2 linked regions of the Coturnix japonica genome follow. The protein of the gene in region 2 binds, or shares a complex with, the protein of the main gene of each other region. Links are inferred from orthologs where the notes say so. Each region holds a gene or a part of one and is shown on either strand. Other genes may lie near its edges.

The links.
Region 1: the proteins of RAD1 (region 2) and RHNO1 are in contact, whole or in part, in a crystal structure (PDB 6J8Y), measured with the Homo sapiens proteins. The link is inferred for Coturnix japonica from reciprocal best matches to the Homo sapiens genes RAD1 and RHNO1. Residues at the interface, in NP_002844.1 of Homo sapiens: Asn47, Gly48, Ile49, Lys50, Phe64, Ile65, Gln66, Ser149, Lys155, Ile157, Glu211, Ala212, Lys240, Val241, Ser242, Arg244, Gln254, Tyr255, Met256, Phe266, Glu268; in NP_001239428.1 of Homo sapiens: Ser55, Trp56, Val57, Ser58, Pro59, Asp60, Phe61, Asp62, Thr63.

What each region holds. Positions count from the first base shown.
Region 1 is NC_029516.1:68,392,669-68,396,985, forward strand, and holds the start of RHNO1 (RAD9, HUS1, RAD1-interacting nuclear orphan protein 1), read right to left. Parts: upstream 3,058-4,317; 5' UTR 2,802-3,057; intron 2,220-2,801; 5' UTR 2,124-2,219; coding exon 1,956-2,123; intron 544-1,955; coding exon 1-543. UniProt on the Homo sapiens protein: Involved in microhomology-mediated end-joining (MMEJ) DNA repair by promoting recruitment of polymerase theta (POLQ) to DNA damage sites during mitosis.
Region 2 is NC_029547.1:9,684,490-9,688,878, reverse strand, and holds the start of RAD1 (cell cycle checkpoint protein RAD1), read left to right. Parts: upstream 1-1,311; 5' UTR 1,312-1,442; coding exon 1,443-1,637; intron 1,638-2,539; coding exon 2,540-2,648; intron 2,649-3,656; coding exon 3,657-3,915; intron 3,916-4,389. Other genes in the region: BRIX1 (ribosome biogenesis protein BRX1 homolog), read right to left, coding at 268-379, 1,045-1,197. UniProt on the Homo sapiens protein: Component of the 9-1-1 cell-cycle checkpoint response complex that plays a major role in DNA repair. The 9-1-1 complex is recruited to DNA lesion upon damage by the RAD17-replication factor C (RFC) clamp loader complex.

The sequences.
Region 1 (4,317 bases), on a different chromosome or scaffold from region 2:
TCTCCAGGTCACCTTTATTCCATAGTCACGCTCAGGAGTATCCGTAACCAGTGTTGCTGCCAATTGCTCGCTCCCACAGTGGTTGACACTGGACACCAACTCAGCACAACTACTGCTTTGTGGCAGAACGCTGCTACCTGTCCAGTTCTTTAAAGAAGGCAACTGTGGCATCCCCATATCTAGTGGACTGAAGACTTCTGGCTCTGTAGGCTGAGAAACAGGTAATGATGGTGTTTCACTATAGTTCTCAGTACCATTCACCTGGATGTTGGCTTTTGATCCTATCCCTTTCTTGCACTGGCCGTGAGAATGCTGTGTGTTCTTTCCTGCGTGACTCAGCACATCCGTGGAGCGGACTGCACGTTCTTCTGAATTCTCAAAATTTAAAGGAGGAAATTTGCAGGCCACAGATCTCCGACAAGCTCTCTCTGCATGAAGCAAGCCAGAGCTGGCATCCTGATTCTGAGGCTTGTGAGAACCACGTTGCTTCTTCTGACACACTCTCAGAACCAATGACTTAGTTGTTTCAAATTGGGGGCACACCTGAAGACATAAGAAGAAAAAAAAAAAAACAAAAAACCAAAATGGTATTTTTCTCCAGAGGAACACCAACCTTATTCTACTCCCCCACCCATCCCATCTTTCCTCAGTGTGTTGATTAAATGGGTAAGCTGGCCTGCAGCAAAGCAAACTAGTTGTTATCCAAGCTGGTAAGCAGGAAACACCTCTGAACTTCAAAGTTCTGTTCTATCACTTTGATAAGCGAGTGGAGTACAAGTGAACTATTATGGCCCAAATATTCCTGAGCAACTATAGCTACAAATGGGAGTAATATGAAGATAATGTTCATTAGGCCTTCAAAATATTCCCCCAAAACATGCTTTCCTCAAACAGTTACTCTACAACACAAAGATTAACAGATGACCACAAAGTCAATTCTACTAAAATCAGCTTTCTGTCAAAGCTCAATAACCTATACTTCATTGAAAGACTTTGGGCACTTACTCAAGACTTGCAAATCCTTCTTTTTACAGTAGTCTTTATCTTCTGGGGTTTCAAAAGTCAGTCAAAACAGTCCTAGAGCATCCCAACCTGGATATCATTATGACAACCACAAACCCCTTTTAGCCTTCTCAGGTTTCTACACATTCCCTCAAAAACTAAGTGCAAGCTAATTATGGGTACTGACTATATACTGTACACCTGAACTGACTGAACCAAAGCCATTCTTTAGACAATCATGGCTCATGTTTCCAGTAATTGTATCCTAGCACAAACTGTACACAAGTGAACAACTGACCTGGACTTCCTTTTCAGAGAACATAGCACATAGGCTTTACCAGGAGCCTAACAGTCAAGAGGGTCTGAAAGAGCAGAAACCTCAATCTGAGTAGGAACTCAGTTGCCAGTGAAACCAAGTGATATCCATCCATAGAGAACAGTTCAGGGAGTTGTAAACCTACCAGTATGTTCTAACATCTAATAGCTTCAGTGCTATTGACTTCAGAGAAATCACTGGATATTTAGAACAAAGGACAACGTGGTTATTTGAAGCTCTTCCAAACAAAAAGCACACTTTATCACAGCAATTCTTTCATGCAGCATTTCAGAAGCCATAGCACTAACTTACCTATATATAAAAATTACATGGTAAATCTTTCAATTGCCATAGAAAGAAAGCTTCTTCCTCACCAGAATTAGATTTTCAGAAGACAAATAGAAACCACAGTCTGTATACACTATAGTTTTATGCCTTCAAATACCCAGGATTTTATTTTTTATATTTGAACATAAAAAAACTCATATGCACTTATTTATGCTTTAGGCATCTATAATGAATTCAGGTCCATGCTGTTGATTTTCATTATCAGGATACAAAACTTTCTGTTGAGATGTGAGAGAAACTTAAAAACCTGTTTTTGCAAGACACAGAGAAACTGATAACGTATACCAACCCAGGCAGCAAAGGTGTTGTGGTCTACAGGCTTTGTAGAAACACATACTGGATTTTCAGCCACACACAGTGGAGTTTCACAGCAACGGATGGGTGCCTCCCACTGACTCTCAATGAATACCAGCTCTGCCTTTCTAGTCTTCCGGGTACGGTTCTTTTTGGGAGGCATCAGACAATAAGATAAAACCGCTTTGAAACCTCATGATGCTCACTAGTACCAATTGGAGGAGGAGGAAAGCACTTTGATGCTCAAGCACCCTCAAATCTGTAGAAAATAAATAAAAGGAAATGGACTTGAACAATTATTTAGAAACCTCAGATAAAGACTTTGAACAAAACACTAGTACAATAACATGCAGATCTCCATATAGACTGTTACCTACCAGTAGTTTTTATATCTTTTATCAGATTCCAGGCAGATTTAGCATATATATATATATATATATATATATAGTAGAATGAGTAATTAAGTGCTTCAAAGCTTCATGAAGGCACAACCAAACATGTGATGGTAAACAGCCACACTGAGTTGCATAACAAACTTTATAACACAAAGTAGTTGTAGAGCAGGTACGTGTTACTTGGCTGGCTGGGTGCAGGGGGTTAACTCCTTCCTAGCCTGCACACCAAAAGGAGGTAAACATCTCTATTTATCAGGGGAATACATGCATATTCATGGTACGAGGATATTTTTCCATGTAGAAGCAGATTGACACTGGTGAGAAAATACCATGCAAGAAGTACATTTTCTTATTCAATATATAAAGCTACATAATAACCGCTTGCTACATATTATCAAAACAACTGACCAGCCCCCTTAACATGCCAGAAGATTTAGAGACACAACCTTATTATCCACCAACCAGTGAAGTCCAGATGCTCTTGGAGGTCTCTGTGAAGGCAGCTGGAGCCACGCTTTCCTCCCGGTAACACACAGCGATGAAGAGTCAAACCACAGAAGAGTCAAACCTGGCTGTAGGGTTGGAGCCTCACAGTCTCAGCTCGGATAACTCCTCTCGAAGCGGATAACGACCCTTAAATTAAGAGTATTTACAGGTGACCACAGCCCCACCGTGCTCAGCACCCACCCCATATAGTACATACCCATCAGCCCGCCCGGCTCGGCCCCGCCCGCCGCTGCGTTTCACTGGCCCGGAGCTCCACGTGATGGCAAGAAACCGCTGAGCGCCAAATTCAAACAGGGAACCGATGGCGATGGCGGGGGGTGGATCCGAGCCGGGCTGCAGGTGGTGAAGCTGGATCTTCCTTGCGCCTCTTCTGCTCGCCTGGGGAGGGGGTGAGTTGGGACCGAAGCTCGGCGTTCATTCCTTGTTGTACTGCGCTCTCCCGTTGTTTGGGCTTTCCCTGTGAGGAGCTGCGTGGCCCGGTGAGGTCTGAGAGTCCGGGAAGTGAGGGTTGTGGTTTACAGCGGGTGACGTAGGTTTGAGGGGATACTTGCTTCGTTCTTCAGTATCACGAGCTCTTTTGCTTCGTTCTCATCGCTTTATAGAGCTGTGAGCACCTTCCTGCTGCTGAAAACAGCTTTTGGCCTGTTTAGGAAGTTTCTGGCCTTCAGCTGCTGAGCAGCCTCTGGCCCCAGTGCTTCCTGCTCATAGAGAGCTCATCTAATGGGTGTTTGCCACTGTGTGTCTTTCCAGGTGATTCTTACTGTACCTGCATTTGTCCTCCACTCCTTTCTACTTTTCTGTTTCCCACGTCTTATACCAGCACTTAAATCCATTTTTGGTCAGGCTGTGTTCTGTTGCTTACAGCAGATTGCTATGTCTGTATTCTGGTTTCTCATCCCTCCAGCTTACTGGCTGATGCTGGTCAAGTAATTTCCCAGCTAAGTCTTAGCATCCCTCATACAGGTAGACATCCAGACGGGTCTTGAATATCTCCAGAGAAGGAGACTCCAGAACACCCCTGAGAAGGCTATTCCAGCGCTCTGACAGTGAACAAGTCTTTCTTTCTATTAGTATAGAACTTCCTGTTGTTCCAGTTTCTGCCTATTGTCCGTTGTTACATTGTTGCTTGCCACTGAGGCGTCTGCCCCCATCAATTTCACTCCTTCACTTTAGATATTTATAAAGAGTTATGAGATCCCCTTTCAGCCTTCTCTTCTCTAGACTGGAGAGTCCCAGGTCTCTCATCCTTTAGATATACATGCTTTCCTTGTTATTAGATACATAATGACATTCAACTTCTGATGCAAGTATTTACTCTGCGAATCCTGCTTCCACAAGCTGTTGATAAAGAGGTGAACTGTATTTTCCTGTAGCCTAGTCAACCTTATTATAAGCTTTCATTTTTGTTTTTCTTTCTCTGTTTTTTAGCAGCGTGGGGATTGCTGAGAATATAAG
Region 2 (4,389 bases):
TGAGTTGCAAAAGTTCCACAAGGATCATGGAGTCCAATTCCTGGCTTCAATCATTTGTTCAATCCAATTGAAACTGAATAAGCCTGGTTTGTTATCATGTATTTTCCGAATTCTAGAATGTGTCCTATGACGCTTTTCTGCACTGTAACAGATATTCAGACTACATTTTATATGTCCCATTATTCACAATCAGTCAGTACCAGATTCTCAGAAATACTTGGTTTGAGGTCACTCTGCAAATGCACTACGGATAACACTCAGCCCTACCTGCTTTAGAATGAGGCATCAGCGTTCTCAGGTCTTGCATTAGGTGCCTTGTTCTGAAATTAATCCCACGAGAGGAGAAAATAAGCACCCGCTCCTTGTTCTTCCATTTACCCTAAAAAACAGACAAAAGCGTTAAACAAAAACCTTAATTTTCTTAAAGTTTCTTACAACAACACCCATTTGAACCGCAGCAACAGAAAAGATGAGCAAGAACATTCATAGCAATCTCATCACCCGCACAGAAACTCCGCAAAGGTTCGACTTCTGACATTACTGCTCACTGCAACGCATATATACAAAAGGCACATAACAACATTAAGAACTCCGCACACAATGGATGTTTTAATAAGAGGGCCCGGCAGAGGCACAGGCTGCCTTCAGATGAACATGTGCTGCGGGCTCGGGCCGCAATGTGCTTCAACGAGAAGCAGCAGCAACTACAGCCATTCCTGAGGCTCCTCAGAGCAACTCCGACACCAAGCACACTCATCATCCATAAAATCGTCTGCATAGAACTCAACTGAAGGCGTTTCTAGATTGTGGTAATACAGCTGAATCGATCGGCCAGAACAGCGCTTTTTTGTCAGCGCTTCCCAGGACGCTATTTCTGTTTGCAGTAACATAATTAGAATGGAACCGCTTCCCAGGACGCTGCTTCTGTTTGCAGTAACATAATTAGACTGTTACAGCCCTCACAACCCGCGCAGTGCCTGAGCTCCCCTCAGCGCCCCGACTCCCAGCGCCGCCCAGCTGGGCCCCAACGCGCCCCGCCGCTACCTGAGAGACCGGCGCCGGGATGCTGTACTCCTCCGGGGCCGCTCCGTCCGGGGCAGCCTTAGCGGTGGCCTCGTTCGCAGCCGGAGCCGCCTTCACTCGCTTCTTCGGCCTCGCAGCAGCCGGCAGCTCACGCTTCCTCTTGGACACCGCCATCTTACAGACACCGCGCCGTGCGCACCTCGCACTTCCGCCCGCTCGCCGCGCCACCGGAAGCGCCGGCGCAGCTGATAGCCGTGGCTTCAGGCCCCTGTAGGCCCGTGTAGGCCGCGCTAGGCCAGTCCGGTCCCGTTAGGCCGCGGTAGGCCCGGTCCGGTCCCGTCAGGCCGCGCTAGGCCCGGTCCGGTCCCGTTAGGCCGCGGTAGGCCCGGTCCGGTCCCGTTGGGCTCCAGGAGCCGGCCATGCCGTTCTCCACGCAGTCCCCCGGCAGCAGCGAGCAGTACGTCCTGACGGCCAGCCTGGATAACGCCCGCAATCTGTCCAGCCTCCTTAGGGCCGTCCACTTCCAGGATCATGCCACTTGCTTCGCCACAGACAACGGGCTTCGGGTGACTGTAGAGGATGCCAAATGCATTCAGGCCAATGCGTTTATCCAGGTAGGGTCTGGAGGCTGAGCTGCTTCCCGTGGTTAACGGTGAGAAGGGGCTGGTAGCAGCGTTAGGGACTCGAATAAGTGATGTGGTAGAACTGGTGTACAGAAGATGAGCTGTGGGGAAGGGGAAGCTTTAGTAAAGCCATAGAGTATTTGCAGAAGCTAATGTGAGGAAGATGCAGTGATTAGAATGTGGCCATTAATTAATCATATAGTGGTTGGGAACAGTCACATTGTCAAATCCTGCCATAGACAGATCATAAAATCATTCATGTTGGAAAAGACCTTGATGGGATGAGAGGTAATGGTATCCAGTTGTTCCAGGGGAGGTTCATGTTGTACGTAAGGAAAAACTTATTCTCAGAAAGAGTGGAGAGGTGTTGGAACAGACTACCCAGGGAATTGAAGTCATTGTCCCCAGAGGTGTCCAGAAATGAGGAGATGTAGCACTGAAGGACGTGGTTTAAGGAGTCTTGTGGGGATGGCTGATGGTTGGACTAGATGATCTCAGCAGTCTTTTCCAACCTTCATGTTTCTATGCTAAGTCCAGCCATCAACCTGACCTCCTCATTATCATTAACCCAGGTCTCCTAATGCCACGTCCACACATTTTTTAAGCACCTCCACCACTGCCCCAAGCAGCCTGGTCCAATGGTTGATCACCCTCTTCAGAAGGAGAGTCTTCCTCATACCCAATCTGTGCCTCTCCTGGTGTAACTTGTTATCATTTCCTTGTGCCGTATCACTTGTACCTAAGAAAACAAACATCTCCATTACTGTGATTATGTGTTAGGTAGTTATAAGCAAATGAAGAGATCTCCCAGTCACTGAAAATGTAAGACATGAGTAAGTTGTGAAGTAATTGGAAAAGCTTCACTGTTTTCATCTCTTACTTTTCTCCCAAAGGCGGAAATTTTTCAGGAGTTTCATGTTCAGGAAGAATCAGTCGTGTTCCGAATCAATTTGGCAGTTCTTCTTGACTGCTTGACCATTTTTGGAGCCAGTTCTTTGCCAGGTATAGTGTATATATATGTATATATTCCTTGACTGTGTGTATGTATAGCCTGTAATTGCACAGTGAAACCTGTGCTTGTCCATAGGTAGATATCCAGTCTTAGTAAAACTTCTGACTTCTTTACCTCAAGCTCTTCCAAGGGTGGAAGCTCTCATCCTTAAGAGGTTGGAACCTGCAGTTTAGTACTTGTTGAACAAGTGTCCCATTGCTGTGAACCATAGCAGAAGTCATCACATTGAGAGAGAGTACAGATACAGCTTGGAATTTCTTAAAATTTCTTAAAAGAAGCAAAGTGTTCCCTTTTATTATGGGGTCCTTTTTGCTCTTCAACACAAATGTTGAATTATATTCCTTTAAAAAAAAAAAAAAAAAAAAAGGGGAAATTTTGTTTCCTGGGAGGTTTTTTTTTCCTGCTTACTTAAGGAGTGTTCAAAAAGAAGTTTTCACAAGCAAAGTTTTCACGGAGCACTGGAACAGGCTGCCCAGGGAGGTGGTGGAGTCTCCTTCTCTGGAGATATTCAAGACCCGCCTGGATGCCTTCCTGTGTGACATGGTGTAGGGAGCCTGCTTTGGCAGGGGGGTTGGACTCGATGATCTCTAGAGGTCCCTTCCAACCCCTACAATTCTGTGATTCTGTGAAAGATTGTTACAAAGATAGTTAGGCTAGCTGTGTGGGTCCTGCAGGATGCACTATATATTCATATGGAGTAGTGTGAAAGGATGTGGGCTTTCTCATGCTGCTTTACCACTGGAGCTATGTGTTGAACTCCAGATTCCTCTGCTGTTACTGCTGTCTGAACTGAAGACCCAAACCTGAACTGCCCTGTGATTTTAGTAAGCTAAACATTCAGATGTTTAAGAAAAAGAGATTCACGACCATAGTGCGAGCTAAGCTGTGTTAAGTTTTGTTTGGTTGAGCTATATGACAGGAAAACCTGAATTTCCTGAAGTGATAAGATGCCCTGATGGACATTCTCTGAACAACATGTATTTCACACTCCTTTTCAGGAACATCAACAGCTCTTCGGATGTGTTATCGTGGGTATGGCTATCCCTTGATGTTGTTCTTAGAAGAAGGAGGAGTAGTGACAGTGTGCAGAATTAATACTCAAGAACCTGAGGACTTGTTAGACTTTAATTTCTGCAGCACCAATGTCATCAATAAAATTATCCTGCAGTCAGAAGGGCTACGAGAAGCATTTTCTGAACTTGATATGACCAGTGAAGTTCTGCAGATTACCATGTCTCCAGATAAACCATATTTCAGGTACTAGAAACTATCTAAACTTCAACTCAGATGTTCCTGCTCATCCTATTTGCTCTTCCCTTGGTGAGAAATGGAATTTTACAGAGTGAAGAGGAAAAGCCCTTAGGAGAATTAGAGTCTGGGGGTGTTGGTTGATGAAAGACTCAACATGAGCCAGCAATGTGTGCTTGCAGCCCAGAAGGCCAACTATCTTGGGTTGCATTGTGAGAAGTGTGACCAGCGGGTAAAGGAAGGTGATTCTGCCCCTCTACTGTGCTCTTGTGAGACCCCACCTGGAGTACTGTATCCAGTTTGGGGCCCTCAACACAAGTAGGAGATGCACCTCCCCTACAGGGATTGGCTGAGAGAGCTGGGATTCTTCAGCCTGAAGAAGAGAAGGCTCTGGCAGGACCTTATAGCAGCCTTCCAGTACCTGAAGGGGGCTATGCAGAAGTTGGGAAGGGACTTTCTATACAGTGTGCATCAACAGGATGA